2 linked regions of the Rattus norvegicus genome follow. Each later gene encodes a partner of the first gene's protein in a complex. Links are inferred from orthologs where the notes say so. Each region holds a gene or a part of one and is shown in the gene's direction. Other genes may lie near its edges. The genes, in order: Anp32a and Nme1.

The links.
Region 2: Anp32a (region 1) and Nme1 share a complex: the UniProt entries of both Homo sapiens proteins name them as parts of the SET complex. The link is inferred for Rattus norvegicus from reciprocal best matches to the Homo sapiens genes ANP32A and NME1.

Annotation. Positions count from the first base shown.
Region 1 is NC_086026.1:71,758,493-71,761,728, forward strand, and holds the end of Anp32a (acidic leucine-rich nuclear phosphoprotein 32 family member A), read left to right. Parts: intron 1-964; coding exon 965-1,028; intron 1,029-1,214; coding exon 1,215-1,276; 3' UTR 1,277-2,430; downstream 2,431-3,236. UniProt on the Homo sapiens protein: Multifunctional protein that is involved in the regulation of many processes including tumor suppression, apoptosis, cell cycle progression or transcription. Promotes apoptosis by favouring the activation of caspase-9/CASP9 and allowing apoptosome formation.
Region 2 is NC_086028.1:79,410,274-79,414,743, reverse strand, and holds the start of Nme1 (nucleoside diphosphate kinase A), read left to right. Parts: upstream 1-1,433; 5' UTR 1,434-1,539; exon of another isoform or gene 1,540-1,590; intron 1,591-1,627; exon of another isoform or gene 1,628-1,794; intron 1,795-3,676; 5' UTR 3,677-3,680; coding exon 3,681-3,806; intron 3,807-4,470. UniProt on the Homo sapiens protein: Major role in the synthesis of nucleoside triphosphates other than ATP. The ATP gamma phosphate is transferred to the NDP beta phosphate via a ping-pong mechanism, using a phosphorylated active-site intermediate.

The DNA of each region.
Region 1 (3,236 bases):
CAGGTCCAGAGAGGCTACCAGCATGGAACCCTGGGAAAGACCCAGAACAAGGAGCCTAGAATGGGAGGATGACTTCAGGACTGGCTGAATCCCAAGCACATTGGATGTGAGGTCCTCAAGGGCCCTTGAGTCTATCTGCTGCACCCCACCCCTTCAGCTGCCCAGGCTTTGTTGGGGGGAGGGCCCAGGAAGGACAGCCAGGCTTGTCCACTTGATTCTTCATTTGCAGAAACTGGGGTCTTTCCCTTGAAGCTAAAACCATATTGAGGACAGATGCAAGAAAGGATGGCCTACTTTCAATGACAGGGCATCTGCCTAGGGAGCCTGGTCTCCTAAGAGCCTGCGCACTGTCAAGCTGCCTTTTTTCTAGGGACTGCACATCCAGTTTTTCTAACACAGGGCAGTCCAAAACGACCCCACACCCAAGGTAACCACCAATATCTTACTTGATGTGGGAAATGTCTCAGGGCACATGTTGAAAGTCTTCTGACTCCAATGACTCCTTATACAAAACAGTAAGAAGCCCTACTGTGTGTTCACCCTGTGCTGTAGGCCTCATTGTGATGGGATGCAAGGCCTCCCTAGGCAGGGACATCTCTCTCTAACTCGTGTGTGTGTGTGTGTGTGTGTGTGTGTGTGTGTGTGTGTGTGTGTGTGTGTACACTAGCGTGTGTACACATACTTGTGTGTGCATGCAGCATGTGTGGAGGCCAGAAGTCAGTGTCAGTTGTGTTTCTCAGTCACAACCCACCTTATCTCTTGAGCCAAGGTCTCTTGTTGAACCTGGAACTCACTGATTGGCTAAACTGGCTACTGGTGAGCTCCTGTCTGTCTCCAAGGTGCTGGGATACACCTGTGTGCTGCTGGGCCCCGCTCCTATGTTCGGATCGATGGAACTGGGGAGCTGCCTCCCTAGACCCAGCAGGGGCACTTCTAATACCCTGCTGTCTGTCTTTGCCCCTAGGAGGATGAAGAAGGTTACAACGACGGGGAAGTGGATGATGAGGAAGATGAAGAAGATGCTGCTGGTATGTCAGCCTTCTTGCTCTCTCCTGGTGGCAGGCTGACCCCCTTGACTCTAGCATTGCTTTGGGCTTTAAGGGCCAAACAGTGGGGGACAAGGGGAATAACTCATGCTTCCTAGATATGCTCCGGTTTCAGGGCTGCCTGAAAGATGGCTGCCTGGTAACCATCCCTTTTCCTTGTTTTTCCAGAAGAAGAAGGGAGTCAGAAGCGAAAACGAGAGCCCGATGACGAGGGCGAAGAGGATGACTAAGGGGAATTAACCTGTTTGGGGAAATTCCTATTGTGATTTGACTGTTTTTACCCATATCCCCTCCCCCTCCTATTCCTGCCCCCCGAAACTTATTTTTTTCTGATTGTAGCGTTGCTGTGGGAATGAGAGGGGCAAAGTGTACTGGGGATTGCCGGGGGTGGGGTGGGGGTGGGAGGGGAGGAATAAAATACTATTTTTACTGCCACACTTTCTTTTCCCCCTTCCTTTTTCCTGTGTCTGGTTTTGTCCCCATAACTGCAATAGCTTAGTGCACACCAAGCGTTTGTTCTTACTCTCCAGAGAGGATGGCTTGGAGGTCTCTAACCTTTTCTGGTATGTCCCACATCCCCAGAGTTGATCAGGAGGCCGTGGCTGGCCTCCACCAGGTGACTCACAGCCCAAGAGCCGTCTTCTTCACTAACTCCTGTTCTGGTTCGTGTGGTCGCTGCCAGAGGCACCCAGCACCCTGGTTTGTAAATAGCAACCGAAAAGGCGTATTTTGGCACTGGTTTGGGGACAGTCCCCATCTCTCACCCCCTTTCCCCCTCCACAGATGTCAGTGCAAAGAGAGCTCTTGTTATTCTATGGCTGTGATCCTGAGAGCCAAAAAGAAAAGAAAAGAAAAAAAAACAGAAAACAAAACAACAACAAAACGCGGCAGGTTTAGGAGACACGTAAAATGGGAAAGAAGTGAACCTTCGTGTTTCAGCTTCTTCAGAAAAGCCAACCTGTTCTATCTTGTTCTGTAAAATATTAGAGCAATTTGTTTTACAGAAATGGCAGGAGGACTCCTCGGGCGCTCCAGCTTAGAACCTTTTAACAAATCTAAGCTCTGGAAGCGCCCTGTGTGTCCTCTGGGTTTTGGTTCTGTTTGTTTTCCTTCTCAAATACATAGGAGCACGGAAAAGGAATGCAAGCTCGTATTTTCTTACCTGGTGGGACTCTGAAGTGGCCGCAGATTTCTCCTAGAGAGTGCGTGTGCCTTCAGCGTCCCCCTTCCAGATTGCTTTAGAAGTGACGTGCTGTTTCCTACCCTGTGTCTCATTTGTACAGATCAGCTGTAACTCATTTTTCTCCCGCCCCTGAGAAGAGCCAAACTTTGAGTTTTATGTCTGTTTGTCATTGATAAATTTCAATAAATCTTTTTTATACAATTTTGGGGGAGATGGCTTCTTTCGAGTCCTTACAAGCCATTGATCATCCTAGGATCAACTGCTGACCCTGGAGGGAAGTCATGTCACCCGCTAAACAGCTTTCTTACACGGAGGTTGAAGACTTTGTTCACAAAGCAAGCCTGAGTGGTATGTTCTACTTAAAGGCTACATTTTTTAAAGTGGGGGAAGGAGGAAAAAAGGGTACAAGACTTATAAATAAATACATAAATAAAGCACCCAGAAACCAGACCAACAATAAATAGCCCTTGGGTTTTTTTTGTTTTGTTTTGTTTTGTTTTTTTAAATATCTTTGAGCGGGGTTGGGGATTTAGCTCAGTGGTAGAGCGCTTGCCTAGGAAGCGCAAGGCCCTGGGTTCGGTCCCCAGCTCCGGAAAAAAAAAAAATTAAATATCTTTGAGCATCTTTGAGGTTTTTTTCATATTGTAAAAGAATGTATACTTAAACTCAGGAATGTATAAAACATTATTTAACACACCCTAGGCTTAACAGCTGGTATTTATTGTATTACCTTTTTATTTATGGTCCTGGGTCTCTGTTCTTGGGGTTTTCTGAAGTGCTAGGTGTTCCCTGCTAATCTCATGTCTGGGTTCTGATTGGATTTATTGTAACCAAACAGGTAGATTGTTGGATTATTTCTAGTTTCTCCCGCAGCATCCTCCTCATAAGTAATAACACTTAAATATTTAAAAAAACTATTTACAGCGTGTGTGTGTGTGTGTGTGTGTGTGTGCGCGCGCGCGTGGGCACGTGAGTGCGCGTGCACATATCAAGACAACGTTGGGGAG
Region 2 (4,470 bases), on another chromosome or scaffold:
TGTGATTAGACTGTGTGTGTTTGACTGTTTGTTTTGTTTTTTTGCGATAAGCTTTTACTATGTTGTGCTGGCTAGCCTGGAATTCACTATGGAGACCAGGCTTGCCTCGAAATCACAGAGCCGTTCTGCCAACCTTGTGCTCCCACGGGCTTGTTTTGTGGGAGACATACTCTCTCTATGTCATCCAGGTGGCCTGTAAGTCTTGATGTTCTTGCTTCAGGCTTCCCAATGCTGTGAATCCATCCAGGCGAGGCCCTTCTCATTGACCAACACCCCAGTCCCTCCATTAAAACAAAAGACAAAAAGCAAGCAAACAAACAAACAAAAAAATCATGTGTGCTGGAGAGCTAGTTCAGCGGTGATAGAGCACACACTGTTCTTGTAGAAAACCCAAGTTCCGTTCCTAGCACTCACATCAGATCACTCGCAACTGTAACTCCGGCTCCGGGGAACCTGACTGCTTCATACATAGACATACACGTGTACGCCTGAATAAATAATAAGGGGTTGGAGAGATGGCTCAGTGGTTAAGAGCACTGACTGCTCTTCCAGAGGTCCTGAGTTCAATCCCCAGCAACCAACTGTAACCAGATCTGACGTTTTCTTCTGGCATGCAATTATCCATGCAGATAGAGCACTCATACATAAAATAAACACATCTTAACAAATAAACAAATACATAAACAATGCCAGATGTGGTTGCCCACTCTTTTAATCCTAGAGGGAATCTCTGCGAGGCCATGGCCAGCCTGGTCTACATAGTGAGTTCCAGGACAGTCAGGACTACATAATGAGACCCTACAATACAACAATAATAATAATAATGATAGAAAACCCTCCTTCTGCGTTTCCAAGCATCAGGTATTCACTGTAATTCTTGGCTCTCAGGTAATAATAGGCTTCCTGCCTTCATGTAGGTCTATTTGATTATCACTTCTGCAGAGATTTCCCAACCTTATTTTTTTTTTTTTTCTCTGCTCTTCTTTCTTCACAGCACTTGCACCGTATATTCGCTCTCAATTTTCTTTTTATTGTTTGCCTCAATTCTAACCCTTACCAGTAAGCCCCAAGTAAGCTCACTGCTTCCACCCTAGGTGTCAGGCACATAGTATTCAGTACATTTGTTGTTTGACAAGAGGAAGGGAAGGTGGAATGACGCGGCTACTGAAGCTCTGGTTGTGACTTCACGCAGTGTGAGCGCCACCTCTCGGGAAACCAAATTTTCTCGGGAACGAAGGAAGTGAGTCACACGGCGGGAGGGGAGAAACAAAAGATGGCCGCCAGCCAGTGGGTGGGTGGGGGTGGGGACCCAAAACACCACACCCAGTGTCGGAAGTTAGACACCGGGAGAGTGCTCCCTAGAATGACATCCTACTCCCCAGAGGAAGCAGGGATCGGCGGTGTACCGCCAAAAGGGCTCCCCTGAATCAGAACTGTATGAAAGTTCCGAGCTTGCAGCTGTAGGGAACCACGTAAGGCCAGGGCGCATTTCCGGTGCGGGCAGTCGCCACCAGAGTTAAAGACCGGGCGTCAGAAGGGGTGAGAGGGGTTCGGGTGCTGAGAGGGAAAGGAGACAGGTTGAGGGTCTAGGTGAGTGGAGAGGGCGGTGGGCGTTAAATAAAGGGTGCATTCTCCTAGAGGTGTTGCGGGAGATGGCAGGCTGTGGACAGGTACAGACCTGTCAGCTTGACACACCACGTGGGCTCGCCTTTGTCCGTGGCTGCAGTTCCTGTCAAGCTGCACGGCAGGGCTGTGCCTTATTCTCTTTCCAGACCGGTGTTGGGCACAGAGCTGGTACTTCGGCGGTGCTTGCTGAATGAATGAATAAATGAATGAGTTGAATGTGTGTGTGTGTGTGTGTGTGTGTGTGTGTGTGTGGAGAGAGAGAGAGAGAGAGAGAGAGAGAGAGAGAGAGAGAGAGAGAGAGAGAGAGATCAGTTGTTAGTTGTTTCTGGTGGCATGGCAGGCCATTTCTGAGTAATCAGTGCTTGCTTCACGTTCCTTCAGACATTCTCCAGCTAGTCTGTGGGTTCTGTCTTTTCTCTTTTTGGAAGGCGTGATCGCCACTTAAGGCATGCTCTTTGCTCCTATTGACTGCGAGGCCCTGTGACTTAGTATCAAAGCTGGGTGTATTGGCTTAGATCAACTATGCAGGTTACAGGTTACAGACAGGGGAGGCGGGAGGGGGAGGAAGACACCAACAAAATGATCATTAAAAGGTTATTTATTATTGTTTGTGTGCGCTTGTTCATGCATGTCTTGGCTCACATGTGAACACCAGAAGATAACTTTGTGGAGTGGGTTCGTGGGATCAAACTTATGCTTGTGGTACAACTCATGATCCCCTGAGCCATCTAGCTGGCTCAGGCCTCATTCTTAAGGTATACAATTAGAGGTTATCCCAAGTTTAGAAAGACAGATCCAGGCTGGGGTTGCTATCCTCTGAGGTATTGTCTTTCAGGGTGGAGTCTCCTTTCATCTTGTGAGACAGTGTTCCCTGGAAATGGAACATTCTGGAATGGATGTTCTCCAAAAGTCTTCCTTCCTGGATAATGTCCCATGTTAGGTATTGTGCTGTGGTTCTCTTACAATCCACAGTTCACTGGTTAGTCACAGTAATCATTGCCCTTTTCCCATAATACATAGTTTAATAAATGTTAATTGCTATTTTGCTATTCTTAATGGACTTTCAAATTTTTATCTTTTTATTTTCTGACAATTATATGTATGTGATATATTTAGTCATTTTACCTCCCCTCATCTTGCCTGAATTCCTTCTAAGAAGTTTCATGTCTGCTATTTTTGTCGTGTGTGTGTGTGTGTGTGTGTGTGTGTGTGTGTGTGTGTGTGTGTATGTGATTGAGTTTAATTGGAGTTGCTTGTTTGATGGATAGAGGAGTTATTTACTGTGGCATGGACAGTTTACCCATGGCTACACCAATGAAGAAAATGACCTCCCAACCATTCATTGCCAATAGCTCCCAAGGCCTTGGGTCTTCTGAGTCCCCCTCCCCAATCTATAATAGAACATAGTCATTGTTTGTTTGTTTTTTGAGTCAGGGTCTTACGTTGCCTAGGCTGGCCTGGAATTTTTTACCTTTTTGCCTTAGCCTTCCTAGGGATGGAATTACTGCCATGATTCCTCAGGCTTGGTTTTTCTCATTACATCCCAAGATGTGTCCCAAATTGCGTAGGGCTGGGAAATTCCATTCTTTGTAAAAAACAAAGATGGTTGTCATGACCTATTCTCTAAAACGCTTGAACGTCGTAGGTCAGACTGTCTTGTTCCAGATGTAACTTTGACTGGGAAAGCCACACCAGTGCCGGTTCCCCTGATGTGTGTCACTGAAAAAAGTGCTGTCTTTTTGGTGTGTGCAGGCCTTAGTTTTACATCTCCTTCCTAAGTTCCACCACACTGTTAAGGGCACAATAGAAGGGCAATGGGACCTTACTAAATCAAATGGAATAGACATTACATTTTCTGTTTTTGAGCCCTTCCTCATTTCAGGATATTAATCCATGGCTGAATGAACTGGGCAGGGATTGGGGTTTTACTAGAGAGACTTAGGGTAGGCGTAAGAGATGAAAGCCAGTTTTATGGTAGTAATCCGCTCGAAAAGGATCACACTGAACATCTTTTCAGCCCTGTCTCACTTCCCTGCCTGCCTGTCCCCAGGACCATGGCCAACAGCGAGCGTACCTTCATCGCCATCAAGCCTGATGGGGTCCAGCGGGGGCTTGTGGGAGAGATCATCAAGCGATTCGAGCAGAAGGGATTCCGCCTGGTTGGTTTGAAATTTATACAGGTGAGTGGACCTCACTCTTCCTGTTTTGAATCTTTGGAGGGCATAGTGGAACACTGCAGAGTAACTTCCGTGGTTGCCTTGTCTCCTGTCTAGACGTCTCCATGGTAGGGCGTCTTGGAGCCTGAAAACCTCTCAGTGACTAAGCATGCAGGCTGAGTCTTGGAACAAACCAAGTCATTTAGGGCTTTCAAAAATAGTCTCTCTTCCTCCATAACAGCATGAAGTCCCTCATATTACTGCAGAGCTGTAATTTCTGACTCAGCTCTGCGTGTTTTAGAGCTCTTGGTCTTTAGCCTTCTAAACAGATAATTTTAGAGACTATCCTTCTAACTCCTACACCTTACCCTTGAAGTAGGTTGTCGGGAAGAAGGTCTTTGCTTTACTAATTACTGACTGATAGTGCCTCGTGTAAATCAGGCGTGGTAAGTCGGGCTTTGGGGGAGAAATCTGCAGTTTTGCTTGTGGGGTGCTTCTGACAGAACAGAGGGAAGGGAAGCAATTCTGACATCCCTATGAAATCTATACATAGTTGTATGGCACAACTGGTCCTAATCATCCAATCACTTTCTGTGATTATGTCCATGCCACCCACTCAGATGACAGTATTCCAGTAAATGCCGAAGACTGAGCCCTTGTCAGACAAATCCATGAAGTGTGAATTCTA